2 linked regions of the Rattus norvegicus genome follow. The main gene of each other region encodes a partner of the protein of the gene in region 2 in a complex. Links are inferred from orthologs where the notes say so. Each region holds a gene or a part of one and is shown on either strand. Other genes may lie near its edges.

The links.
Region 1: the proteins of Aak1 (region 2) and Pdlim5 are in contact, whole or in part, in a crystal structure (PDB 9F6S), measured with the Homo sapiens proteins. The link is inferred for Rattus norvegicus from reciprocal best matches to the Homo sapiens genes AAK1 and PDLIM5. Residues at the interface, in NP_055726.4 of Homo sapiens: Asp956, Leu958, Ile959, Asp960, Leu961; in NP_006448.5 of Homo sapiens: Ala12, Pro13, Trp14, Gly15, Phe16, Arg17, Leu18, Phe24, Gln67, Ile70, Lys71.

The regions. Positions count from the first base shown.
Region 1 is NC_086020.1:233,629,161-233,632,977, forward strand, and holds part of Pdlim5 (PDZ and LIM domain protein 5), read right to left. Parts: intron 1,765-3,817; coding exon 1,649-1,764; intron 1-1,648. UniProt on the Homo sapiens protein: May play an important role in the heart development by scaffolding PKC to the Z-disk region. May play a role in the regulation of cardiomyocyte expansion. Isoforms lacking the LIM domains may negatively modulate the scaffolding activity of isoform 1.
Region 2 is NC_086022.1:120,959,296-120,963,112, reverse strand, and holds part of Aak1 (AP2-associated protein kinase 1), read right to left. Parts: intron 3,259-3,817; coding exon 3,104-3,258; intron 2,132-3,103; coding exon 1,806-2,131; intron 513-1,805; exon of another isoform or gene 1-512.

The sequences.
Region 1 (3,817 bases), on a different chromosome or scaffold from region 2:
GCATGCGTCAGGTATCTTGGGCACCCAGAGAACCCTGGTTGTCAGCTGCCTCACATGGATACCGGAAGTCAATCTTGGATCCTCTGCAAGAGCAGTCAGTGTTCTGAGCCTGACTCAGAGGTCACTGAGCCACCTCTCCAGCCCCAGCAGGCTGGTTTTTATTTACTTCCTGGACAAACTATCCATTCAAGAAGGAACTGATTTAACTTGAGTCTACCGTGAAAGTCTTAGGCAGGCAGCATCTGCCTGGTGAGTGGCTTTAAGATCCTGCTACCCACACTTTCACCTCCATGTTCTTTCTGCTGCCTTGCAAGCTGACAATGCTCATAAGATCTTCCTGAGAAGGAAACTATGTAGAAGCTGCTCTTTATAAACTTTATGAAGTCTAAAAGACGATGAAATAAAAATATGGATGAGCTCAAAGGTAATGGTTGAAGAAATCATTTGATTTCACCTTTACCTAATTCTTTTATGCACCAGGTATCAAAACAGTGTTAGATATGATTAAATCTAACAGCGCTAACAGAAATCAAATACTGTCATGGAACAGCTCTACTGAATATTAGCTTCTAAATGACAGAAAGTACCTCATGCCAACGTTAATCTGATCTATCCTAATCATTAAGAACGTCAGAACACTAGGTATAGGGATGCAGACCTTCCATTCCAGATCTCTGGAGGCAGAGGCAGGCAGATCTGTCTGAGTTCAAGACTAACGTCATCTATCTATCAAGTTCTATATCAGTCAGGGAACACAGAGACCCTGTCCCTACAAAAAGCTGTGGGGCTAGCTCAGTCAGTAAAGCCCTTGAGTTTGACCCCGAGAAACCATTACAAATGGCGGGCTTGCTTGTAATCCCAAGAGGGAAGGAGAGGGAACTGGGGAATCTCTCGCCAGAAGCTCTAGCCCATGAGAAACTTGGCTTCAAAGAAGGTGGCCAGTGTTGTCAGAGTGACACTTGAGGTTGTCCTTCAGTCTCCACAAACATGTAAACATATGAACACACACATGTACACAAACACACATACATACAAACACATAAAAATAAATCAATCCAAATCCCAAAGCACTAAAAAAAGACAAGTGAAGTAGGTAATATCTTCCATGTTCATAGTTTCAAAAAGAAAAGGAAAAGAATCCATGAGCTACCTCTATCAGTCAGGAGGAAAATTGAACCATCTTGCTGGTTCTCTAGTTTTTTATAATTTCTTTTCCATTTAAGAAATATCTAATGTATCAAAAAAAAAAAAACCCCTTGAGCTGTTTAATAAAAGAATTTAAGAAAATGACTCATATTAAAAAAAGAAAAAGTATCTTCTCCTTAGAGTCAAGAATGCATTAGAGGGTAAAATCCTATTATATGCCAAATAATTTCAAATCCAACTTTTAAGAACATCAAAAACCACTGTTCCTTAGCTTTGAGGAATGGAAAAACCCAAAGTGCTGTTACTCCCATTAAGCACTAAGCTTTTTTAAAATTAATTATCTTATTTATCTACATCCCAAGTGTTGCCCTCCCTCTCCAGGTTAACGGAGTTCTCCCTCATCCCTCACCTTTGCCTCTGTGAGCCCCACCCCCATCCCCATACTCCCCCACCCTGGGGTATCAAGCACTAAGCTTTGACCAGGGCAGTACAGTTTACTTACGGAGCACACAAAGCAAGTGTCATGCCAGGTGGAGCCCAGAGCTTCCAGGAACATGTCACCAGCCTCTATGGGGAATTCACACCCGCGACATATTGTTCCAAAAAGTGCATAATAGTCTGCGTCAAGTAAGGAGAGAGATGCAATTTAAACATGGCGAGGCTTTGGAACTGCGGGTCACAGCAGACAGTGGTTAGGATGGAAGTTAACAGAGGTTAAGACTGAGGTGGATGTGAGGAATGCATTATCCCCGGGAGTGAGGCAGCTTGGTTGGGAGTTCCTCACTGATGGGAGACAGGACAATTTCTGCAGACGGTCCTTGTCCTTTCTTTATTATTAAATAAGAACACCTGAGATGCACGGTTTTTCTTTCCCACACTTTTCCACATTTTCATCCTCTTTTATGACATTTCATCTGTTGTGCTGACCTATGATCCAGCTTTTGGCCGTCAGTCCTGTCAATATAGCTGAAGTTGGAGGGGAGAGATTCTATAACGTGCGGTGCTATGCTAACATGCTTCAGCACCAAGTGTTGACTTCACATCCAGTGACTCTCCTGGGCAGAGCTCCAGCCCCACGGAGGTTCAGCGTCTATAGGACAGGTGTGGATGCTCATCTCAGGGGACTTTGTTAAGACTGGGATAAGGACGACTGACAAACAAACGAAGGAAGAAGTGCTGTGATAGAGAATGGGTAGCCTACACTACATTATACAGGAAGGTTCTGGAGATCTAGCAGTCATGATGAAACTTGAAGAATCATACTGAGATCAGTTAGAAGAAACTGTAAGAAGGTGCTGGAGCAGGGGCTGGGGATTTAGCTCAGTGGTAGAGCGCTTACCTAGGAGAAATAAAGTCTCGGCCATGTTCAGAAATAAAGGTGGGTTAGATCTCAGGTCAAGATGTACAGGGCAGCAGATAAAAGCCCACAAAGCAGGTTCTAGCAAGGAGAATAGTGCCCTTCTTATAGAAATCCTTTACAGGACATAACACAATCTGACTGGCATTGTTGAGGGTGCCCTGATTTCTCCCCAGCTGCTACTGGGAAGTCCAAGCACAGAGCAGGCTGGGCGTGGCGGTGACACTGGAGATGGATGGAGACGATTGTCAACACCCACCGGAAGCTACTTGTTAGATTGGGTTTTGGAAGAACAGAGAAAGAGAGAAATTCTAGGCCTCTGGACAGTGGGCTGTGCAGCCATCTACTGAGATGGGACCACTGCTAAGAACTGGTTAAGGAAAAAAGACTAAAATTTGATTGTAATCCCCCTCTGCAGGCAGTGCATTAGTTTTATGTCATGATTCCCTTTAAAGTGTATTAAACACCATAGGCTAGGCAGACGTCTATGATTTGGCTCACGTAGAGTGTCTTACAAAGCTGCTAAAACTCACAATCTAAGTCAACTAAACAAACCCAAGTCTCTCTTCAGAAGAAATAAGTCACTGCAAAACACAGGGTATTCTGAGAACGGTAAGCAGTTTACAGCCAACTTTACTACTGACAACCCATGGCGTATTTTATTGGAGGTTCTGGGGGCTTCCTGGTGGACAGCCTGGAGCAGAGCCAAACCTGCCCTAACTAAGGGGCTGAGGGGAAGGTGAGAACCAGAGCAGAGTGAAGGAAAATGCAAGCGGTGTGGAGCCAGCCTCGGACACAAGCTTCCTGAGCTGCATCCCTGTGCAAAGTCCCGTTTCTAGGACCACACTCGTAATTTCAGTCCAAAGTAAGATAAAAACTCAACAGTGGGAATGCAGTTAATGGTAGTTAACAGAGGCAGAGTAAGGGAAAGCACGTTTCATATTTCGGAATATGCATTGTGGAAGCAATAGCTGAATGAAGAGTAAAAGATAAGAAAGGTCACTGCAGATGTGCAAAGGAAAAGGAAGCGCTGGGCACTGGGATGAGAAAACGGGATTGACAGGTGCTTAGAACCGAAATTATTAAGAATAACTTTACCAGGGAGCAATCTAAGCCAGGATCACTCTCCTATTCAGTGAAGTAGCAAAGGATTTCACACTTACTTTTAAGGTTGCTGCTTTAGAAAGCAGAGCAGTAACATCTGAATGTGAACATTCTTGTGCTTATAAGCACTTGGTATCTGTTACTACAATTTGTGCCTTTAAGCTACGTTTTGGGTAGAACTTATATCTATAAAGGATTGGAGATCCAAGC
Region 2 (3,817 bases):
TGATCTTTAGAGAAATGGAGGACTCTAAGTTAAGAGCAGAATGATCGGGGCTGGGGATTTAGCTCAGTGGTAGAGCGCTTACCTAGGAAGCGCAAGGCCCTGGGTTCGGTCCCCAGCTCCGAAAAAAAGAACCAAAAAAAAAAAAAAAAAAAAAAAAAAAAAAAAAAGAGCAGAATGATCATGGACAGTCATTGCTCTCAATGGCAGAGAAATCATTAATCGTGAGTTACATCCCAGAGAACCAGAAGCCAATTTGACTAAAATTAGGGAGAATCTGAGTATGTTTAAAAATGGTGACATGTATAAATCCATAAACTTACATAATACAATGCAAAACACTCTTACCTCTGAATGAACACTGGTGAACAAGGAAAAGACCTAACATCTTTCTCACCCTTTTCTGTACAAGCAGGACCTCAGGGTAACTACACTAAGACGACAGAAACAACTCTGCATAGGCTGGTAGGACGGCTCAGTGGGCAAAGGCACCTGCCACCAAGAAGGCTGACAAGGTGAGTTTAGTACCCAGGCCCACTTGAGAGAGTATGATTTTGCTACCCAAGTAGGTTTAAGGACTTGGGGAAATAGCAATAATTGGTAAACTAAAGAGGAAAACTAAAAACCAACAAACAAACAAGCAAAAACCAAATTAAACAGACGATAGCTAAGCACACTGATGGTGAAAGACAGCACTGGCCACCCATCAGAATGAACAGGAAGAGCAGGGAACTCCAGACTGAACTGACGCTGAGCATGTCTCCGGAAAGCCCAGTTTAAGTCTGCTGACAGAGCTCAGCAACGCAGGGCATTTGTGGCCAAGTCTGACAACCTGCGTTCTAGCCCCAGAGCCCACACGGTAGACAAAGAGAACTGACTCCTGAAAGTTGTCCTTTGACCTTTAGATGCACACCATAGTGCATGGGCTCTCTCTCTCTCTCGCGAGCGCGCGCGCACACACACACACACACACACACACACACACACAGTGGAATATACCAAATGACAAAGAGTAACCAAGTCAAGTTCATAATAAGAAGAGTTTCCAAGAACAAGGAATTCACTTTCTTTAAATAAATAAAAATGGCAAAGGAGATAAAAGGAGGTAAAGACTATCGATCTCTCTCCCTGTGGCTAGAGAGTTGGCTCTGTGGATAGGGGTGCTTGCTGGAGTTCAGATCCCAGCACACATGTAACAATCCGGGTGTCCTGCAAATGTCTGTAATTCTAAATTCCATTTAGAGTCGATCCATTGCTCCTCTTGCCTTTTGAGTGTTCACAGGTGTATTTGCCCAAATATATATGTATGTACACACACACACACACACACTACTTTTAAAAAAGAAATCAATCATTATAAAATATATATGTTCAAAGTTAAATAAATATGTAAAAAATGGAAATTAATATATCCCAACTAAATAGAGTACATGAACCTTGTTTGACTCCTGATCCAACCAAGCAAACTTAAACTCTGCAACAACCGAAACAACTTGAAACTACTGGATTCTGTGTGTTACCAGGACATCATTGTTATTTCTCCCTGTGTCTATCTCTTTAGAAAGTAGTTCCATCAGTACCAGTGCTGAGTTGGGGTAAATTCCCAAGGCTTGAAGACAACACTGAAAGCTCTGAGAGTTATTAACTACACCTAGATGCTTCAGTTTCTACATCTGTGAGAAGTGACGATGCATTGATCAGTGGCTCTTGGCCATCCCAGCACATCCCAAGGAAGACACCTGCACCTAGCAGGCCTTTCAATACTAATACTCCACTGTACAAAGCAATGGTCATCTAGAGCTCCTCACCTGCTGAGTCTGAGCCTGCTGCTGCTGGGGCTGCTGCTGCTGGTAAAAGGTGCCTGATGGCTGTGGTGGTGCTGTTGGCTGCTGTGGCTGTTGCTGCTGCTGCTGCTGTTGCTGCTGCTGCTGCTGCTTGAGGAGGAGCTGCTGCTGGTGCTGAGGAGTAGCCTGGGCCTGGGTGGGCAGACCCTGGGTCTGGGGAGCAGGCGTCTGCTGTGGGGTGGGTGGAGCTTGTGGCTGCTTGGGTTGAGATGACTGAAGAGGTTGACTGGGCGTGGCTTGGGCTTTAGGCTGGGAAACACTGGCTAGAAGGCTAGGCTGATTGCTGGGTCCTGTAATGAAAAACTCCATGTCAGGGCACAAAACTCTACCAGACAAAAATGGCTTTCTGAAGCCTGGCAGTGGTGGTGCACACCTTTAATCCCAGCACTTGGGAGAGGAAGGTGGAGTTTGAGGACAGACAGGCTACATAGACAACCCTTATGAAAAAAGACTTTGTGATTTGCTACACAAGAAATGGCAGAAGTAGGCAGACTGCCCCAAGCTTTGCCTGTTCCTCACCATTTTGCCATCTGTGATGCTCTACTTGGAACAGCTTTCCACTCTTGCCAAAAGCCAGGTGAACTGCAGACTTCAGTACCTGCCTCTTGCACAGGGTTTCCCTCATCCCCCATCTCACCCAGTCACCCAGCCCTGCAGTCAGCACCTCTAGTTCCCCTCACACAGCCAACATTTGACACTAAACAGTCTGTGTACCAGCCTGTCTACCGCGGCAAAAGCATTCTTTGATATTTTATGAGTAGCTTATACAACTAGCATCTGAATGCCTGGCTCTATATAGATGGCCACTGAATTTATCAGAAATTGTTCCTGGTAAGACATGTGATAGATGTGGTCTGTGACTTGTTATTTTGGATCAATCCCCTTTATAAAACAAAGCTCGCTCCTCTTGTTATAACAGAATGCTAGAACACAAAGGATGATGTGTACTAATAAACACAGCATTAATAAAATAATATTCTTCTGTGGTTACAAAAAATAAGTAAGTCTGGTTTCTTTAAAAGCAAGGAGAAATACGTAAGGTAAATAAGGTGGAGTGGATGGACCAGATGTCCAGTAAGAAAATAAATGCACACAACAGGCTTCAGGGGTCTTGAGACTCATCTGAGTACAGAAAGAAGTTCCTCCTTGTGCAGCCACTGGCCATAGACATTCACAAGCAGCTCAGGGCATGATTCTTTAGGCTGTGCCTTCCGACACTACCACCATCAAGCACTGGAACAAGCTGCAAACTAGTTACTGACCTGTAGCCTGAGGTAGGGGCTGAACAGTGGCCCTCTTACGAGGAGTCAGGGCTGGCTGAATGGGAAGGATTCCGGGGTTTGGCTGAGTCTGCCCAGCTTTAGGCCTCTGGCGGGGTGCAATTGAAGTCTCTGTGGTGGGAATGGGATCTGTCAGTCTAGAAAAGGAAAAACAAAACTGCTGTTAAAATGTGGGAAAACAGAGGGGATATGCAGAACACAAGATGTTTTACCCTTAACACTCCTTCAAAACATTCAGACTGGCTTAATCAACACTTCTTCAAATGCCAATTCACCTACAAAGGCAAACACATCAAAATAACTTATCTGTCATCAGCAACCTTAAAGCCAAGAGAGCACAGAATGATACATTTCAAACCCTGAGAATACATAACCCCCAACCAAAATCACCATATTCAGCAAAGCACTCTTGAAAAGCGATGGAGATTCAAGGTCATTTATGAGGGAGACGTGCAAGTGTCATGATGCACATGTGGAGGTCAGAGGACAACTTTAGGTGTTGATTCTCATCTTAGTCAACACTGCATGCACCAGGCTAGCCGGTCTGTCAACTCCCTGCAATTCTCCTACGTGTGCCTCTTATCTCCTGGTTGGGGAATGCTAGGATTACAAACACATGCCCTACTGCATGCAGCTTTACCAGTTCTAGCAAGTAATAATTACCCACCAGGTCATCTCCCCAGCCCCAAGTAAGGA